2 linked regions of the Daphnia pulex genome follow. The protein of the gene in region 1 binds, or shares a complex with, the protein of each later gene. Links are inferred from orthologs where the notes say so. Each region holds a gene or a part of one and is shown in the gene's direction. Other genes may lie near its edges.

Evidence for each region.
Region 2: nuclear pore complex protein Nup153-like (region 1) and nuclear pore complex protein Nup85-like share a complex: the UniProt entries of both Drosophila melanogaster proteins name them as parts of the nuclear pore complex. The link is inferred for Daphnia pulex from reciprocal best matches to the Drosophila melanogaster genes Nup153 and Nup75.

What each region holds. Positions count from the first base shown.
Region 1 is NC_060021.1:248,841-252,609, reverse strand, and holds the end of nuclear pore complex protein Nup153-like, read left to right. Parts: coding exon 1-2,426; 3' UTR 2,427-3,216; downstream 3,217-3,769. Other genes in the region: guanine nucleotide-binding protein-like 1, read right to left, coding at 3,251-3,769. UniProt on the Drosophila melanogaster protein: Component of the nuclear pore complex (NPC), a complex required for the trafficking across the nuclear envelope. Functions as a scaffolding element in the nuclear phase of the NPC.
Region 2 is NC_060023.1:4,665,938-4,670,164, forward strand, and holds nuclear pore complex protein Nup85-like, read left to right. Parts: upstream 1-1,242; 5' UTR 1,243-1,384; coding exon 1,385-1,399; intron 1,400-1,461; coding exon 1,462-1,570; intron 1,571-1,627; coding exon 1,628-2,214; intron 2,215-2,284; coding exon 2,285-2,407; intron 2,408-2,520; coding exon 2,521-2,739; intron 2,740-2,866; coding exon 2,867-3,504; intron 3,505-3,576; coding exon 3,577-3,820; 3' UTR 3,821-3,919; downstream 3,920-4,227. Other genes in the region: rRNA methyltransferase 2, mitochondrial-like, read right to left, coding at 1-232, 304-421, 486-534, 603-742, 850-1,010. UniProt on the Drosophila melanogaster protein: Component of the nuclear pore complex (NPC) that seems to be required for NPC assembly and maintenance. Required for nuclear import of phosphorylated Mad via importin msk.

The sequences.
Region 1 (3,769 bases):
CCAATTCCAAGGACAAATCTTCGTGTGTGGCATGCGAATCTCCAGCCCCCAATGCAGTAAAAGCAATGCCTATTGCTCCTGCTGCTGCTGCTGCTCCTGTTGCGCCTCCAACAAAAGGATTCGGTGATCAATTTAAAATGACCGCCGCTCAATGGGAATGTTCTGTGTGTATGATCAGGAACGCTGATAAAGACGATCGATGCAAATCTTGCGACGAAGCACGCCCGGGATCCAAGCCTGCAGTTAAACCCAGTTCGGTTTCAACCTTTAAATTCGGCATTCAACCTGGACAACAAACAGCTCCCAAGTTTGGAACGGAATCGTCAACTTTGACCCAAACAAAAGGGTTTTCTTTTGGGACTTCTAGCGAAAAGGAAGAAAGTTCTTCTTCTTCTTCAGGATTCAAATTTGGCGCCAGCATTGAAGTATTGAAAGATAAAAGTGTAACCCCTGGATTCAAGTTTGGAAATGTGATAGAACCCTCTAAGAAAATAGAAGCGTCTTCTAGCGAATCAGTAGTTGAATTCGTTGAACCCAGTAAAATTCCTGAAAAAGCAGGCTTTAAATTTGGTACATCGATTGAACCAAGCAAGAAAACGGAAGAAACAAGCGGTGGATTTAAATTTGGAATTGAGAAGAAACCAGAAGAAACCAAAGCTATCACTTCTACTGCGCCTGTAGCTTCTGAAAACACAGGACCCATCGAATTATTCCAAATCAAACCAAAAGAGCCAACACAGAAAGCTGAAGAACCAATTGTGTTTGGGCGTCAGACGGACTTGGCGACAGACGATGAGAAAAAAACAGTGGCGGATTCACAATTCAAAACTTCGGTCCTATCCAATCCAGCAGCGTTCAATGTTGCACCGACAACCACATCGTCAGCCTCTAAATCGAGTCCCATTTTTAGCTTTGCACCTGCAGTTCCTGACTCGAAGGTGTCTTTACTGGAAACCGGCAGCGTGATGGATATTCTCGGGAAGAAACCCGCGGCCCCATCGGACATTAAACAGGCTCCTGTCAGTTCGGCATCCTCATTTTCTTTTGGAGCAACGGAACAAACAAAGCCTACATTTGCGTTTGGCAAACCAGAGACATCGACAGAAAAGCCAACCTTCAATTTTGGTGAGGCCACCGAAAAAGAGTCGCAGATTCCCAAAAGTACATCGTCGATACCTACTACTACCACCACATCAACTCCGTTTAGCTTCACTGGAGGTGCGACGTCGACTCCTTCTCTATCGCTATTCAAACCGGCTACTGCGCCGTCTTTCAATTTTGGTGGCCCAACAGTATTTGGTGCTTCAGTTTCATCGGCACCAACTTTCGGTGCTTCAACAACTGTCGCAACGTCTACGAGCCCGCCCTTTGGCATCACAACTTCAGCACCTGCTCCTTCCACTTTTGGATTACCTACTACTACTGCGTCGTCGATTGCTTTCGGTCTATCGACCTCTACAACATCTCTCCCAACTTTTGGTTCACAAACTGCAACGGCCGTCGCCCCCACGGCATTTGGAATGACGGCTGCTCCCCCCAGTTTCAGTTTACCTACTACTACCACGAAATCTACCTTGGGATCGGCTGTTCCGGCAAGCTCTAGCTCCCTTTTTCCATTCGGTTCAGGTACGGGAGCTACGCCTACGACTAGCACGTCTACGGCCGCTGCGCCGTCTATGTCTTTTTCGTTTGGAACGCCACAGACTACGACCGCATCGTTCATCAATTTCGGATCACCTGCTCCCCCAGCGTATCAATTTCCTAAAGATGCCACCAAACCCGCTAGTAGTGGTGGATTCGGGTTTGGTGCTTCAACAACGTCCGTCCCATCGTCATTTGCTTTTGGATCTTCAAACGTTGCCACTCCGGTCACGACTCCTTCAGAGGCACCCAAAATGCAGTTTAACTTTGCAACTTCCCAGCAAACTACACCTTCAACGGTCGCTGCTCCTACTTTTGGAACTTTCGGTACTGGTGCTCCCAAGACCACGTCGGCTCCGTTTTCAGGATTCAATGCCACACCATCTTCTACTCCTGCATTTGGAGCCGCAGTATCGTCTCCGTTTGGTTCATTACAACCGACAGGTTTTGGGGCTGCTGCTGCTGCACCTTTTTCATTCAGTGCCCCATCGGCTTCTGCTCCATCCGCCTTCACTGCGTCATCTAGTTTCAATTTTAGTGGGTCTGCTGCTGCTCCTGCCCCCGCTGCTCCGCCTCAACAACCGCCCGGCCTCTTTCAGTTTGGCATGAATGCCGCTCCACCAGCCGTCAATTCGGGTTTCAATTTTCCACCGGCTGCGACGTTTAATCCTCCTGATGCTCCGTCTCCCGGGTTCGCTGCGGGTTTTCCTGGAGCCAACCCTTTTGACAACACCGGCAGCGCAGGTGGAGCCCGGAAAATGCGCAAGGCAGTTCGACGAAGATAGACAAGAGAGCAGCCCTTTGGTGGGGGTATGACCCAACATTAAGCGACTTGAAAACATTTTTTTTTTTTAAACTGTGTGTGTGTGTGTGTGTGTGCGGAAAAGAGCGTGTGTGCGCGCAAGTGTATGTATGAAATTCCCATGTGTAATTACTTCTCTCTTTCATCCCTTTACCTTTTTCAGAACTTTTCATGTGGCATTGAACTTGCCTTTCACATTCTCGGGGCCAATTGGAGCTTCAGGGCTCTTTTTTTTTTACATTAGAAGGGACACGTCGATGACCCGTTGTGATTTTTCTGTACAGAAATTAGTAAAATGCGAAATTAGATCAATCTGATTTCTTATACTTGGCAATCTGAGAGAATGTGCATGGCATTTCCATTCGGCCTTTTTCTTCATCTATATTTAATGTGTCTGCTCTTTACCAGGGGTTGAATTTAATGGTGTGTGAAATACTCTAAATTCAACCTCTTATCCTGTTTGCTTTTTTTCTTGACATATTACCTAACAAAATTCAAATCTGGAAGTCGTCATACATTACCGGAACAACCGACAAATTCATTTCTTCTGAATTGCGGGGGGGTTAGTTAGATATAATAATGTCGGGGAGTTTTACTTTGTGGAACTTGTGGGAAAAATTTTGTAAGCGGATCGACTCTATAAAATGAATTATTTTCTCTTCCTTGCTCAGTGGCTCTCATCTTACTTTGGAACCACGGCGATGTGAACCGATGTTATAGAAACAAAAGCGTTCCAACTAGTGCTCTTTCAAATAAACGACGTTGATTTGTGATTCAGTTATATATATCTCACACATCTGATACATTTTAATCATCATCTTCCAGTAAAGCAAATTTATTCGAAGACGCAGGGACTTGCTCTTCCTCGCTTTCATCATCTTCTTCTTCTTCACTCTCTTGATTAGAATCTTCCTCTTCAACCACCTCTGCGGCTGCTTCCAGCCAACCATCGTCTTTCATTTGACCGAGTGCTTGAATGTTGGTAATTTCGGCTACATCCGGGTGTGACTGCCATTTCGACTCTTCCGCTTTATAGTTGGGTGGCCGCAAGTACAAAGTGATTCTCCCCTCCAATATTAGTCTTAGAAGATGGTTGGCAGAACGAGCCACGTCGGGTCGGGCAGCCCGTTTGGTCATGAAACCTCGTTTGATAGCCCATCCTTCGCAGATATCGTAGGCCGACCATTCTTGACCTTCTGTTGCTTTCTCGCCACTAGGATGGCCCATCTTGAGCAATTCCGGCAAATTCAAATACTTGCCAACGTAACCAACAGCTGTGTAAGGCTCTCGTAGGTGGGCGATGGGATAGCTTCCTACCAACACCTG
Region 2 (4,227 bases), on another chromosome or scaffold:
GTATAAACATTTCAGCTGAATCCTGTCTACTACTAGGTGGTTTCACAACTTTGACTTGAGAATAGTGTAATGCAATCTCATTCTCCAGTTGTTTGATTCTTCCTCCTGCCCATAATTTTATCAATAGCGTAGCTCCGTCCATAGAGATTTGTTGCGCGTAACGCAGCACTGAATATGCTAATTCTAATATCCTATCTTGATCCAAATCTCGTATACCCGATGCTGCAGGAGCCTAAATTTAATTAGCAAATATTAATTGAAATAATTTAAGGTAAAAAAAAACTGAAATAAAATCAGCCCTACCATATCACTTAGGACTGCATTAGCAAGTTGCCCACCAAGTATTTCTGTTATTCTGGTCTGGGACAAACTTTTTGTGAAATCTAATGGAGCCAAGATTACAGCTCCTTCAATTGGGTACCTGAAAGAATAAAATTGAATAATGTTAGTGAACTAAGGGTACCAAAACTTTGCAGCCCTTTTACATTGGTTGAAGATCAACTGCTACATGCTTTCCTTTAAGCTGAGAAGACACTGCATGAAATCCATAAACATTCTAGTGTCATTTTAATTAGGCTAAATAGTTAAACAATTCAATCTACCTTTTCCTGTTGCATTAATTCGTTTTACACATACTTGTGTCCAAGCACCAGGTGCAGCGCCACATTCTACAACCACATCTCCAGGTTTAAGGAATTTGTGTTTGTCATCAATTTCAATCAATTTAAAGGCACTTCTAGCTCTTTCTTGGTTAATAAGAAGTAGTAAATATTAGACAACAATTAAACTGAAGCTATAGCCTGTTAATTGAAAATATTGAAATCATAATTTTTATTTGAAAATTACTACCTATAATTTTCCATTTTGGCTTTAAGAACATACTCGTCATTCATTTGCCGAGTTAGCCATTCTTGAGAACTTTTACTGCGGCCCTTTAGCCGATCGGGCACTTTTTTAAAGCATGTTGAAGACGAACAAAACTGTCTTACTGAACAAACGGCAATGTTCATAGCAAAAACTTTGTTGAAACGGATATTTTAATATGGATCAAATAAATTCTTCAGGTGAAAAGCGATAAACAACTTGAAAGTATTAATGAAACAGCAATATAACATCACCTAATAAGATCAAGTAGACTATGATATTTTGTCAACAAACAAGCAGCCACGAAAATTGAAATTTCCGCTATCGACATTCGGCAGCACAGGTCATAGTTACCGCCGTAACCATGGCCATTGCAGTATGGTGTAAAACCGAAGCAGCAGACGACAGATTAGAAATATTTCAAAAAAGTACTCGTTACGAGTTCTGACTGTTAGTTGAAATCCTTCTGAATCCTACACACAATTACGATTTGTGACGTGATTTTCACGCATTTTACAGAATGCTTGAACCTATTGTAATAATAATTTCGAATTGTTCATGGTATACATATTTGTAACCAAACTTTCTTTGTTTTAGGGAATACAAGATCCTCTATTTGCATACAACAAAGATGTTGGGCATTCTTGGGGTTATGGTAACAGCTTGGCTGTATTTCCAACAGAATTTTCCAAGTCGATCACCTCTGGTAAGTTCTTTCTGGAAGTTAGCCAAAAAACTCCTACTAAGTTTTTCTCAATGACAGGTCCAGTTAGTCCCCAGACTTGTAAGAAGAAGCTTTATACAATTTCTTGGGAGCGAACCTTGTACAATCCTTTTGTTCGCAAGCTGGTCAATGAATCCTGTGGAGCATTTACTTCTTTACAAATTAAGGCTGGCACAGATGGCCAAATCAGCTCATCTGAGTTAATTAAATCCAGTCATCAGTATCGTTGTATAATGAATGCATGCATTGAAGATTTGAACCAAGCAGCAGATCTTGCTAACAGTGTTGAATCTAATCAAGCACTTCAAGAAATGAGTGAAATATTTTACAAAGCTGAGTTGGTGTGGAATTTGTGTGAAATTCTGTATCTTGAGAACCCACTTGGAATTCTGCCACACCTATTAGAATGGATTCGTATTCATTTTCCAAATGCAGTAGAAGAAACTGGTACAGTTTTAGCATCACCAAATCCTGGACTCCATGAAAGCTATTGGAAAGCTCTCTATGGACTAGTGTTTCAGTTACGCTTAGAAAGTGCTACCAAACTGTTAAGAATTCATCCTGATTTCCAGAGTGAAGCTTTTCAGAGTGCATATGAGTTGCTGAAGAAAATGCCAGTCTTTAGTGTAAGAAAGTTCTTGTAATTTAGATAGATTAACAATTTTTCTATCTCCTAAGTATTTCTGTTCTATTTAGGCCAACTCAACTGTTTCTGCTCCAGAGTTTACCTTCAGATGGAATCATTGGAAAGAAGAATGTGAGGCTCGCACTCAAGCTGGAGATTTCTTCGAATCAAAAGATTTAGAACTTCTAATGGAGGTATATAATGTTTTATATATAATGATCTCTTAATTCCCATTTTTATTTTCATTAGTTTATGTTGTATGTCTTTTGTCTAACTTACATAAACTTTCTATTTACTTACGATAAAGATACTATGTGGCAAAGAAGAAGCATTTGAAAAAGTTGGCGATCATTTCGAAACTTGGTATCAACGAATGATTACTCAGTTAACGTTCACGCAACCCACAATTGGAACGTTATCTTTGGGAGATGAAGCCGAACAGTTTTTTGCTTCCTTAATCGGATTAGATGATTTGACGTCACTAGATGCAACACTTTTGGCCGTTCTTCGTCGCGACACGCGTAAAGTGAGTATCGCTGTTATCAATGGATAAGAGTTTTAAGCAAGTTTGATAAGAGTTCATGCAAGTATCAAGACACTACCAACATAATTAACTGGAAACGTTTTATATCTGTTCAAATTTGTTGTCACAGGTGATTGGAGAAATGCAAGGAGTATTGGATAATTCTTGGTTTACGGCACATCTCGCTGATTTATTGTATCACGCCGGAGCACTTCAGTCGTTCGAAGACATTAACTCACTACAGCTGAGAGAAACTTTGCTTCGTGACTACTCGATTTGCTTATTTAGCCACCAATCCTTGTGGTCGGTTGGTGTTCTCTATCTTGACCATTGCCCTAATGTTGGTTCTGCGACTCTGGAACACTTGCTCACTCGACTTCCGTGCCAGTCGGAAATGAAGGCAACCAAAATAATTTCACTTGCCGAGCGAAGAAAACTAACATCAGTGGTAACTTCCGTCTGTCGTGTAATGGGTCGACGGGCCTTGGCCAATGGACGACTTGGTGCGGCAGTCGCTTGGGCTGTTAAGGCGCAAGACGCTCCTCTTGCTACCTATGCCGCCGATGCTGTTCTGAAGAGTTACCTTCAAGATTCAGATTTTACTTCGACGGACTTGCTAGACTCACTGGGTGCTGGACTTCTTGCCAGCGATCGATTGGCTTTCCTTGGGAAATATCGCGAGTTTCATCGTCTTTACAATTCAAACGATTTTCATTCAGCAGCTGGCCTTTTGATCTCTTTAATCTCATCACGGATTGCACCGAAATAGTAAGTAGCCTAACCACTAACCATGTTATCATAATTGCAGCTGCCTAATAATTATTGAAATTTCGTTTTCAGCTTTTGGACCGTTTTGCTCATGGACGCACTACCATTATTAGAAACAAATCCGCCAGTTTTCACTTCAGAACAAACTTACGAATTAATGCAAAGTCTACAGGAGTTGACGTCTTCGTTTCAAGATGATGCTGAAATCAACCCCCATCCAAACTGCCAACTCAATTCTGATAAAACAATGTTAATAACTTTAGCATTAAGTCGAAATTTGGCGAAATGTTTTGTACAACAAACTGTTTGTGATTAATGGGATGAAATTGTCTTTTCCACTTCGAATTTACTGCGTGGTATTAATCCACTTTAAGAGGGAAATTTGAATACATCCATATTGTGTTTCTTCTTTAAATAGTTTTCCAACAAATTTTCTGGCTGTCGTTCGTGTACCAAATTAAATGTTTTGTTTTTTTTTGTTTTTTTTATGACTGGACTTGATAAGGACTGTATAGCACAGTTTCTTTTTTTAATTTCATACCGTGCAAATTGAATTATGTAATTTGAGTGTGGTTAGAGTAAGAAAAAAAAAACAATCACGGAAACGTGAAAGTAACGCAGCAGATTCTGAGCAAAATATTGCTCATGACTGGACCTACAGTATATATAAGCAAGTAAAATGAATTGGCGATCGAAACTAAAGGTTGGTAATGCCTCGCGTAG